3 linked regions of the Drosophila melanogaster genome follow. The protein of the gene in region 2 interacts with the protein of the main gene of each other region in a pairwise test. Each region holds a gene or a part of one and is shown on either strand. Other genes may lie near its edges. The genes, in order: CG10939, CG6688 and Sr-CI.

Region 1 (3,756 bases), on a different chromosome or scaffold from region 2:
TATTATGCCGAATTCCACAATCTCTAGGCCAATTCTCAATAACTGGTTGTATTTCTGACATACTCATTGATCTTGCACAGATCTTTCTATCCGCGAAATGTGTCAAAAATCGTCGGGCTGTGGCCGCGATAAATGCAAAACCCGATCGCTAAATACCGATTTAATCGAATTAGCATAGCTAGTGACAAGCGCAGAACGCCGAAGATTGGATCTTAATCGTGGCAAGTGCCATAGAAAAACCCACAAAAGAGGAGGGGGAAAAAAACTATGAAAAAACCAGAAATACACGCGACAAAAATGCACAACCAGCAAATCAGAAGAAGTAAACCGGTGAATTAGTGCAACAACAACCAGCGACTCGAAACTAAAATAAAAGCAAAGTCTAAACAAAAACAGAGAAAAAGACTAGAAAAAATAACCATTAAAGAAACCTGCTTTGAGGCATTGCTGGAATACCAGAGTTGTCACTTGGGGATTGGGGATTTCGGGGCTTTTTCAGGTGAATTGCAGGTGGGGAGTGTCTGCTGTCGTAAATAAGAAGAAGAAGTGGGAGTAAAACCTGCCAAACTTAACAGCGATTTATGAATAGCGTTAGAAAGAGAGGCCGCCAAGTGATAGGCGACAAGAAAGAGACAAAATCGCATGCATGTCGCATTTGCAAACGCAACGGCCTTATGCAATGCGCCCAAAAGAGATGGTGCGAGAGCGTGCGAGTGAGAGGGGGCAATATAAATCAAAACAATTATTATGTAAGGCGGTGCGACGGTTAGTGCAGCCAAAAGCAGTTAACAGGGCAACACATTTAGCGGTACGCAATAAAAGCCCATTTTAATTTGGCTTATTTAGTTTATTGATTCAGCTTTAATGCAGAGAGCAAAAAGTTATTGTTAGCGGGTGTACTATTTCAAATGCAAATAATCCCCTTATCAGTATCTTTAAGATATACTTGTACATATAGCTATGGACTTAATTGGGATTCAGTTTAAAAAATATTGACTTGTTCCATCAAATCCTTGTTGTTTCATCAATTGAAATTTAAACTGAAAATCCGATTATAACAATTTTCTAAGTGTAATCGTTAAGGCCGATTGCAGCTTCTCTTCCCTCTCGCTCCCGCAGCCAAATCGTCCTCTCTTTCCCACCCCAAAGCGCTTTGCGTGTGTAAATTGTTTATTTAATTTCAGTTATTGAAAATACAGTTTTTATGGCTTTCAATTGCGATGACCAGCAAATGAAATGGACTTTTATTAACTTGGTTAAATCATGGCAAGTGATTCAATGCGATTTTATAATTATTTTTGCACATTTATGTTTAGCACGTTGTTTTGTTACGTTTGTCCGTAGTAATTCCAATGGATCAATTGATATTCTGCTCGCATTTCGCTCAAGTTCAGTGGCTCTAAAACTGTCTCAAGGCTGCAAATTTCATTTTTCGACTTACCGCTTAAACAAACAAGTAGAAACGATTCCCTTTCAAATGTTGCTGTTGATTTTCAGTTTTCTGTTTTTGTTGCAGTTATTATTGTTGCACTCTCTACTCTTTTCCGTATGCAAACGCTGTCACATACACACACATAAACACGTCGTCGTTCTTGTTGTTGTTGTTACAAGGCCTTACTATTTTTAATGAAATGAAGGAGTTGCCGAACAGCTAAACGAAACGAAAGCGAACAGCACACGAAAAAGTCACACAAAACAATCGGCTAAAATAACTGTTGACAGGCGAAAGAGGCGCAGAGAGAGGGCTACTCGCGTTGTTTTTGCTGCTGTTGCTGCTGCCTTCCTGATATTATTTCTACGTATGTAATATTATCTCACACGCTGAAGATCCGTTGAAACGTTGTTAACGCTTTCGCGGGCAAATCGTAACTGATTTCGGTTGCTGAAGCGTCCGCGGCAGGTGAGAGCCGAAGTAAGCCCCGATCGTTATGTGTGTTGTGTTGCATACTTTTGGGCCAGCGTGGTGGAAAAGAGAGTAGAAAAGTCCGCAGATCACTGTGGTGAGTTTCACGGGAGTTCGAGGGCGAGAGATTTTTCGGCTTCAATGGTAAATCTGAAAACTAAAAGAAACTACTTTTTGAATGTTCTGAAATGTTTATGTTTTAAGCAGTGCAACCAATACGCTTAACGCAATTTATTAGCTATTATTTATTTAACTCCACGAAATTACACCACTTTATGGCCTATCGTATGATGACTTTGTTTCAAAGCTCTTTATTTCCGTAAAACCCATCACTTTGTTGTCTTCACTTTTGGGCCCTTTTAATCCCATTGTGTCCTCTTATCAGCAGTGTCCAACGATGTTTCCAAGCCACTGCATTACCTGTATGGAAATCAATCAGAGGGATGAACGAGAAGGCACTGGGTGCAATTCCAATTGGTTTTGTCGTCCGTTGCAAGAAAGAAGCCAGTTCTAAACGAAATGTATGAAGTGTAATGGAACATTGGTAAATACCATGCAATGAGAATCGCTGTTATTGAGTGATATTAGGTCCTTGAGCTGACGCTTATGGATATGTGGTCAACTGTACTTCTGGCCCTGCTTTGACAGCTGACAACTGTCATTTTCGGCCTGGCGCACCTGACGTGTGCTCATAGAATTTATTTAATTTCCGCCTGGGCATTCAAGTAAATTGACTTTCATCGCCCCTTGGCACACTCTTTTCACTCCACGTGTGGGAGACAAACAAAAGCCGTGTGCTAATGCAAATTTGGGCAGATCTTTGGATAAACATCGCAATGGAATAGTCAAAGTTCCAGCGGCACATTCCACTACAAACAAAATTGGGGATGATTGATGGTGGTATTTTTAACATTTAACATTTTAGAACATTTATGAAAAAAATTTACGTATATATTTAAAAAAATAACCATTTTTATAGTTCAGAATCCTGTTCTAAAGATGGTTTTTAAACACAAGATGAATTATTTTCAGTGTCATGCTCGCGTTTTTGGGTACTCCGCGGCGACATTTCGCTGCTCTACTCGGTTGCCCTTATCGTTTTAATTAGTTTTTGAAAAAGTTGGACCAACAAACTCTTGGAACGGCAAGGGCGGCCAGTCGTGCAGATAGAACTAGTGCTGGCAATTATGAAATTGCAAATAAGTTCCCACTTAGCGAGCAGGGCAATTGCATTTAAAGCGCAACGCCTTTACATTTAATTAAGGCCGAACGATGGGCGCCACCTGCTCTGTTTGCCGATTCACCTGTTTATCTCTAGAGGTTGGTGGGTGGCACTTTCTTAGCTCCCTGCCGATTTGCATGAATATTTATAGCGAATGGCGCTTTAAATGCAACTCCCTGGGAAAACGTCGCCGGATTAGGCAACAAATTTATATGCACAAAAAACGAAATCAACAAAAACAAAGAATTGAAAAAGAAGATGCAAATGCAGAGCTGCGAAGGCTGAGATTTTGCCAAAAACTTTTGGGGAACCTGCAATAAAAAAGTTTTCTTTAATCCTACAGGGGTTTTCGTAATAAATGATTTAAATTGCATTTCCAATGAGGTTGAAAACCTAATGAAAGAGGACACCTCGGATTTAAGCGAAATTCTATAAAAATTATAAAAATCAAATCCTGGTACAAAAATTCACCACCACATCAAAATAAATTGTCCCCAAACAGAAAACTCAAATGAACTTTCAAAACTCAAACCGTGCAAAAATCGTTCAATCTTCTTAAGCAACCGAACAGGCGGCCAGAAAAACCCAGAAAGCCAACGGAACCGATTCAATTTAACTTTCGAACGAAACA
Region 2 (3,756 bases):
GATGCTCTATGGATTTTTGAAAAAAATATTGTGTTAGCGCGATTTTAATGGGGAACGGATAACTGAGTGTGTTTGATGGTTTAAAGAAGGATTTCAGGACTGCAATGAAAATACTCACATTAGTATCACAGTCCTTATCACATTCACTGTTCCAACAGAGAATTGTGACGCAGTCCTTTTGACTCTTCACCATTTTGGCGATTTCAGACACTCTCAAGCCTAAAACATCGTTGCCATTTACCTGGAAATAAAATATTATAGAATTTTATAGAAAATGTCTGGAAATGTTGTTTATTTATTTTAGGAAATAAGTGCCATACAGAAAGCAAGTACCAAGTATCTAAATATTTGGATTTCCACGAGCTACCAAAGAAAACAAATGAATACCACAAAATATGGCCAACACAATTACAAATTCGAAAGCACTGCTTGCGGCTGTATCGCACGCACTGCTTGCGGATGTTAACCTTAGCTAGCACTGTTAACTCAATTGGCTGTTATCTGTTATCTGATAACTGATATTTGCTTTGAATATTTACTTCGTGCTAATTAATCTTTGTCATCAACTAGTTGTTTTACTACGTTCGAGTTGTGTCATTAGTTTTAGGGCGGGCTGTGCATTCACCAGCTGTTTCTAGTTCCCCACTCCACATCCAATAAAGTTTCTAAATAAAGTCGATGCCGAGCAATTAAGTTTTACTGCATTGCTATTTTAAGTAAACAATATCCACGAAGAACAACAAATGCGGCTACAATAGCGGCTGCAAAGTCCAGACTTGGATATATGTACGGTCCAACTTCCATAGCTCAAGCTATTCGTAATTTAAAAGACCATAGCGATTTGAATTTGTTTCTAGAAGTGCAAATCATCATATTGGAATGCTTTCCTGAATAGTACTTTTTATCTTAACTTACGATTCACACAAATTTGTAGAACTTATTGACTTGAAAACTCGCAAGTATACATAATTAGCTTTACAACAAAAACTACATTATTTTTCTAGCTGTTAGCTAACAAAAGGAACTTTTTTCTGATTATAAATATATTATAATTTTAATGGGTTCCTCAAACTCTGTTTTCTTCTATCCTAAGTGGAATGCACATAGTTGGGAACCTGAGTAGCAGTCTCAATAAGCTCTTAATAGGTTTACAAAGTAAATCCCCGCGTCGATCTATTGCATTCTTAATTTTGTAACTGGAGTTCAGGCGCAGATTGAGTTACCAATGCAGTTTAGTTACCAATGCAGTTGGTCTGCGCTGTGCATAATCCGCCAGTCCATTGCTGGCTGAGAGCTGAAAGAACTGACAACGGTGGCACCAACCTGTGGCACTAACTTCTACTCACCTCCAGAACGCAATCGCCGGGTTTCAGGCCGCAGAGAGCGGCAGGTGTGCCGGCTGCCACTTCGCAAACCTGTCGGTGTAATGGGTATATGGTAATTAGGAGGGGACGGGATCTCCAAACGATGGCCACTTTTATTACCCAGGGATAGGGATCCCATTTGCTGCGGGTCAGCTGAAATCCGTAGTTCTCCATCGCAGGTGCGGCTCTGGGAATTCTCAGTAGTCGCACGGAGGAGCCATCGCCATGCTGCCCATCTTCATTGGATGTGGAATGAAATCCTCCCGCTGATTTCCTCATTTTCGGGCTAGAAAACTCGCACAGGTGCTCGGATCGTTGTGGGCCAAAATAAAAAGCGGCTAGCGAGAGACGTGTTCAACGTGCGCTCTCAGTTGGCAAACTGTTTTTCGTCTGTCTGTTGATTTTTTTTCGAGCCAGCTGGCTGGCTGGTGTATGTGGCTGGCTGGCTGGCTGGCTGGCTGAAAAGTTGCCGAGCGGCGAGCAGTGAACATGGAGCGCTTTGGGCCGACGCAATCGGCTACGACAAACATTTTGGCCAAGCTCCCCAGCATCACACATTTAACCCCTTCCACAACTTAATGACTTTGGGCCATCTGACGCGGTGTTGTAAGTGCTCGGCGCCAAAATGTGGCTGCGGTTCAAGATCCGAGATTCGGAATTCGAGATCGGAGATCTGAGATCTGAGTTCCGAGATCCAAAGCTGACACCCAGCTGAGATCATGGAAATGAGACTTGTGGAGCTAAGTAAATATTTGAACTTTCGGGCTGGCAGCGGTTTTTGGGTGCGCTATAAAGTTGCATGTCTACGTATTGTGACACCTTCAAATATACCGAATAAATAAACAAATTCTTCAGCGATTAAGTCATTTGATAACCTGGTAAATTAGTTGGTTCGAATGTGCAGGCTGCTACAATTGTGCGGAAGTGAAATCGAGAACATGGCCAAATACAATAGTTTTCATAGAAACCTTCGGCTATTTCTCTTCGCTTTTCATGGAAACCTTCTGCTATTTCTCTTAAATTGAAAACAATAAAGCTGCGCTTATCACTTATACCATGTTTTGTTACTAGAGATTAAAACTATTAAGGTAAATATAGCAAAACAGCCCAAACAAATATAAATAGCCAAAATAAACTGAACAAGACCTGCAAATTAAGTGTTAAATTGTATATTTATACAGTTTGGTTACGGTTTTGGCACAAATCGTAATCAGATAAAATCGCTATTAGCAGTAATGCACACGAAACTTAATCAGTTTAATTCCCATTTGTTGACTTTAAAAGTTTTCCGACTTTGTAATTAAATTTGAAAATAAACAGCACTATTTTTCGGCTTAATTGCGTGTTGGCAGTGTCAAATGGCCAGTGCATTTGCGATTGAGTGGCCAGCAAGTAAACCAAAATATTATTATTCGAAATGCCAAAAGAAATTAAAACAACAACGACGAGTGTGTTGGCACCGCACTAGGGTGTCAAACGGCGATAAACATAAACAATGGGGCCCTAAATAAATAATTGGGTCTAAAACCGGCTCGTCGATTAACCCTAACAATGATAACTGATGGAAATTGGCAGCTGACAAATGGATTTGGTTTGGCATGGCCAAACCATCGACATCCATTTGACTTTCGCTTTTTTGTTGTTTTGTTATCGCCGGTTTAACTGCCATTGAGGCGGTAATTTGAGTTTGGCGCTGCTCTGGTCGTCTAAAACATTGGCCAAATAGCATTGAAATTGGTAATTTCATTTAAATTTGCGCCCAGCAAAACTGACCCTGGGCGGCATTGTGGTGCGTGGTGTGTGTGTGTGTAATTTGTTTTTGGCTTTTCAATTTGCCAGTTCAATTAGATTTGGCCAAATTTATGTGGCACGCAGAAGCGTTCGGCAGCCAAAAGCCGTCAGCAGTGTCAAAATTAGAGAATACTTACCCAGGCAATAACATCGAAATTCATGTTTCTCGGAAAGCCATCCACCTGAAAGGTAATTGACTTTTATTAATCGGCCAGCAATTAGGCCGGGCCCAAAGGCAAATGGCCAAATTCAAGTGCAATTCCGCCTCTTCACACTATTGGCTCTCGACTTGTTTGTGGCCAGTAGATGCGGTTTCCAAAAAACAAAATAAAACGATGAAAAGCTCGCTGAAGCCAAGTGCAAAGCTCTGCCCACAGGTGGCGCTCGCTTTAAGCCAAGTTAGTAGGTCTGCTGGTCAGCTGTGAAGAAGTCGAGCCTCAGTTTCTTCGCAACTCGCATTCGGTTAAGTGAGCATGCGCCGCAAGTTCCGCTGGAAAACGCGAAGTGCGAAGCGCCGGCGCCGAAATAAAGTGATTACGATACGATCACAAAGATATCGAAAATCATCTAGCGTGGCCGAGAGTTGTGAAAATTGATTAAC
Region 3 (3,756 bases), on a different chromosome or scaffold from region 2:
TTGTTGTAAACACATTTATTGTAGTTGTTGTCGTTGGTGTTGTTGAAGTTGTAGACGTTGTAGAAGTTGTAGACTTTGGTGTGGTTGAAGTCGTTGTTGTTGGCTTCGGCGTTGTTGAAGTTGTTGTCGGTTTTTTAGTGGTTGTTGTTCGCTTTGTAGTTGTGGCCTTTGTTGTTGTTGTGGTTGTGGTTGGCCTTTTAGTTGTTGTTGTACTTGTAGTAGTTGTGCTTGTGGTTGTTGTTGTCGTTGACTTCCTCGTAGTGCTTGTGCTTGTTGATGTGACCGTTGGGGGCAGGGAACTAATATCATCCTCGGTCGTGGTGAGCAGCTCCTTTGTGCACTCCTCCAAATAGTTTAGGCAACAAGTCTCATCCGAAAGGCACTCGTCATTACACCCACATCCCATGACTATACCATTGTTGGTTATATTGGAGGCCGAGATTGATGTTCCGCATCGACCTGAACAACTCATCATATCGTAGACCAGTGGTTGCTCGTTGCTGCCTGTCGGAGCCGTTGGTTCTGTGGTGGTGCTAAATCCGTTTGTGCCACACTCACTGCCTGTCATTAGCTTTACATCATCGATGGCAATATCTCCGAATTGGGATCTTGCATCCGTTGCCGTGAATATCACCTGGAAGTCCTCTTGCATCTCGTCAATGCTGATCGTGTGCTCTAGCCACTGGGTTCCCTGCTGACCAGATATCTCAAATTTGCTGCAACTAAGATAAAACAGAAACAGAAGCAATCAGTATAATTGTTGCCATGCTTTCGGAATTTTTTGCCACTTTTATCTCATTGCCTGCGACCTTTAATCTAAAACCTCTTCCGCTCCGGCAAAACTCACTTGGCTCTGAACCTATTCCACATGGTTGCCATTGGCATCGAAACGGGTTTAACGGACACCACCAGATTATCCACACCAGCGCCAAACATGAAGTAGTGGAATCGAAAGCAGCAGGCGGTCTTCAGGGTGAGGGATCTGGGATAGATCGGCGATAGCAGATGGTAGCTTCCATAAGCCCCCATTTGGGTTTCCATGCGCATGTAATGACCACCGGATTCGTTTTTAAACGTGTGATCGTGGCGGGGTCCCGTTCTTAGGGAGTGAATATCGGATACCGTGCTGACTCGCTTCCAGGGTCGTCGGAAGGTTGTCTCCGCCTCCCAACCGCACTGATCCTCGCTCTCGAAATCGCAAGAATGATCTCTTGTGTGGTTGCTCCTTCGACACGATCCCAGCTGGGTGCTCCATCTTTCTCCATCGCAGTAGGCAGTGCGACCACCGACCAAGACATAGCCATCGTGGCACACGACATCCGCCCTTAGGGAAAGATTTTCGACGTGTCCGTTCTCCGGATCCTCGGGCCTCGCACATCCCCTACCTTATGTTGAAAAAATGCAAGAAACTCAGTAAAACCATTAGATTATATCGATTTTGTGGCTCTTACTGGCACAGAATGGTTTTTCGCCTCGAAGGCGACCATCTCGATCGCAAGTTTGCATTACTGTTCCCTGCAAAGTGTAGCCGCGATTGCATCTGAATCTCACCACATTTCTCTGTCGATAATTTATACTTCCATTATCCAAATCTATTGATCTTTCACATCGTCCATGAATGTGACCTATACAATATATCACAATCACAGCCAGAGTCCAGAAAAATTCCATTCCGCAGAGATATTACGAACTTAATGTATAGATACGGTCGAAGGCTGTCAAAAGACTGAGAGTCCGATTGCAGCTCGACATCACTCGGAGCAACGAAGAGCGGGACTCATACAATTACAAGATGGTTGAAGTCGAAGAGCAGATAACCGCTATATTGTTCATTCTTAATTCACTCTTAATTTTATACAAATATATATAAATATAGATTTAAATCGCGTCTTATTTTCTTGCGCTGCACTTATAAACGTTTTTTAAACTTATACTATGGGTAAATCTTATAAGCCCAAAATGATAATAGATTTTACAACTCGTCCTTGTTAAGAATGTGGTTCATTGGTTTCAGATTTTATAAATTTTACATCGTCGATACCAATGTCTCCATGGAGAGAACTTGGGTCCACGACTGTGAAGACCACCTGGAAGTCCGACTCCATCTCGTCGATGGAGATGGACTGGCTTTTCCAGTTTGGGCCTTGATCGCCAGACACGGTGAGTTTGGTGCAGCTGGAGAATAACATAAGATGTATTTAAAGCATTTTAAAGTGATTTGGATAGATCGCTTACATATTTCTGAAACTATTCCACATATCCTCGACCGCCATTGAAGAGGGTTTCACGGAGATCGTCAGGTTTCTTACTTCCGAACCAAACATAAAGAGTTCGAACTGAAACCATAAGGAATGGCCCACCGTGAGGTTCCTGGGATAGATCGGCGATATGAAGTGGTAGGTTCTGGAAGCGTGTACCTGCGATTGCAAGCGAATAAAGTGTCCTTCGACGTCGCTCTGGAATGTGTGATCCTGTTGCAGGCACTTTTCTTTGAGAAAATCTGCCGCAGCACTTATTCGCTTCCATGGTTGGGGTATGGCTTTGCTGGCCCTCCAACCGCACATATCCTCACGTTCGAAGTCACAGGAATGGTCACCGACGCTGTTGGCCAACTGACAGGTTCCCAGCTTGATGATCCACTTCGTTCCATTGCAGTAGGTAAAGGAATTTCCGCTAAGAACAAATTCATCATCGCATTCGATTTCCGCCTTTAAGCCATCCGTGGCCGTCAAAATGGTTCCGTTGGCTTGTTTCTCAATATCATTGCAACCCGCTTCTGAAAGTTTTACATTATATATACATATTTTAAGTTTTATTACTCATTTTAACTCACTGGCGCAGTAACGCTTCATCATATTTCCATTGCCAAGGTGCCACGTCTTTCCCTGCAAAGAAAATCCGGGATTGCACTCGAACTTGATGCTATCACCTAGGAGCCAACTAGATAACTCTGTAACTTTTCCGTTGCGCAACAAAATGTCGGGCTCACAACTGGCAATCGATTGGATCACCATATATATCATAAATAGTCTCAGTGCCCACAAAATTTCTACAGAAACCATTGCCATTGTATAAATTTGGATGCTAAATAACGACTGAACTGAGTAAAGCTTTTGAATACAAATTTTTACGTTTCCTTATCTGCTATCAACTTTTTTGTACCAAAAATCTCAAAAAATCTTATCGTTTACTTTTTGCGTATTTCCACATTATATTTACTTCTACAAATATTGAACCAACCGCTGCTTACTTTATACACTTTTATTTTATAATAAATAAACACTTCTCTTTTCTTTCAGAACATGTGAAATGATACGGTAAGTTCCAAATGTTTCTAAATAGTAGGTGGGGTCTTGCCATATGTTAGTTTGAATAAAATGAAATGTACACTTGAATACTTGTAGAAATGCTGCACGATATTGCAAAAGGGCTGATAAATTGTATTGTTCCGAAAAAGGTATGGGAAATCCGTAGATCGGTTGAACTTGGGCGATATCTTATTATCAGTGAATGATAAATTATTCGTTTAGTTCATCCCCAAATAACACCACTAAACTGGCTTTATCGTTTTGTCCTGGGACGCCATTCAAATGCAATTATTCGCATCTCCGGTCGGAATTGGATTCCATGGAGATGGAACTAAATAGAAGCATCTTCTTCCTGTCGCCTGCAAGCTTAAATAAATGGGCATCTGTTGGAAGGTCCTGGAAAATGATTGTCGAGGGTTCGGGTGGCGCTTCTTGCTGTGATTTATGT

What was found.
Region 1: the proteins of CG6688 (region 2) and CG10939 interact in a two-hybrid assay, tested with the Drosophila melanogaster proteins (one large-scale study listed by BioGRID).
Region 3: the proteins of CG6688 (region 2) and Sr-CI interact in a two-hybrid assay, tested with the Drosophila melanogaster proteins (one large-scale study listed by BioGRID).

The regions. Positions count from the first base shown.
Region 1 is NT_033778.4:17,392,712-17,396,467, reverse strand, and holds the start of CG10939 (uncharacterized protein), read right to left. Parts: upstream 1,876-3,756; 5' UTR 1,442-1,875; intron 1-1,441.
Region 2 is NT_033777.3:23,010,401-23,014,156, reverse strand, and holds the start of CG6688 (uncharacterized protein), read right to left. Parts: upstream 1,746-3,756; 5' UTR 1,644-1,745; coding exon 1,485-1,643; intron 1,416-1,484; coding exon 1,347-1,415; intron 242-1,346; coding exon 119-241; intron 7-118; coding exon 1-6.
Region 3 is NT_033779.5:4,119,675-4,123,430, reverse strand, and holds the start of Sr-CI (scavenger receptor class C, type I), read right to left. Parts: upstream 1,730-3,756; 5' UTR 1,672-1,729; coding exon 1,452-1,671; intron 1,386-1,451; coding exon 848-1,385; intron 723-847; coding exon 1-722. Other genes in the region: Sr-CIII (scavenger receptor class C, type III), read right to left, coding at 1,989-2,175, 2,236-2,776, 2,834-3,068.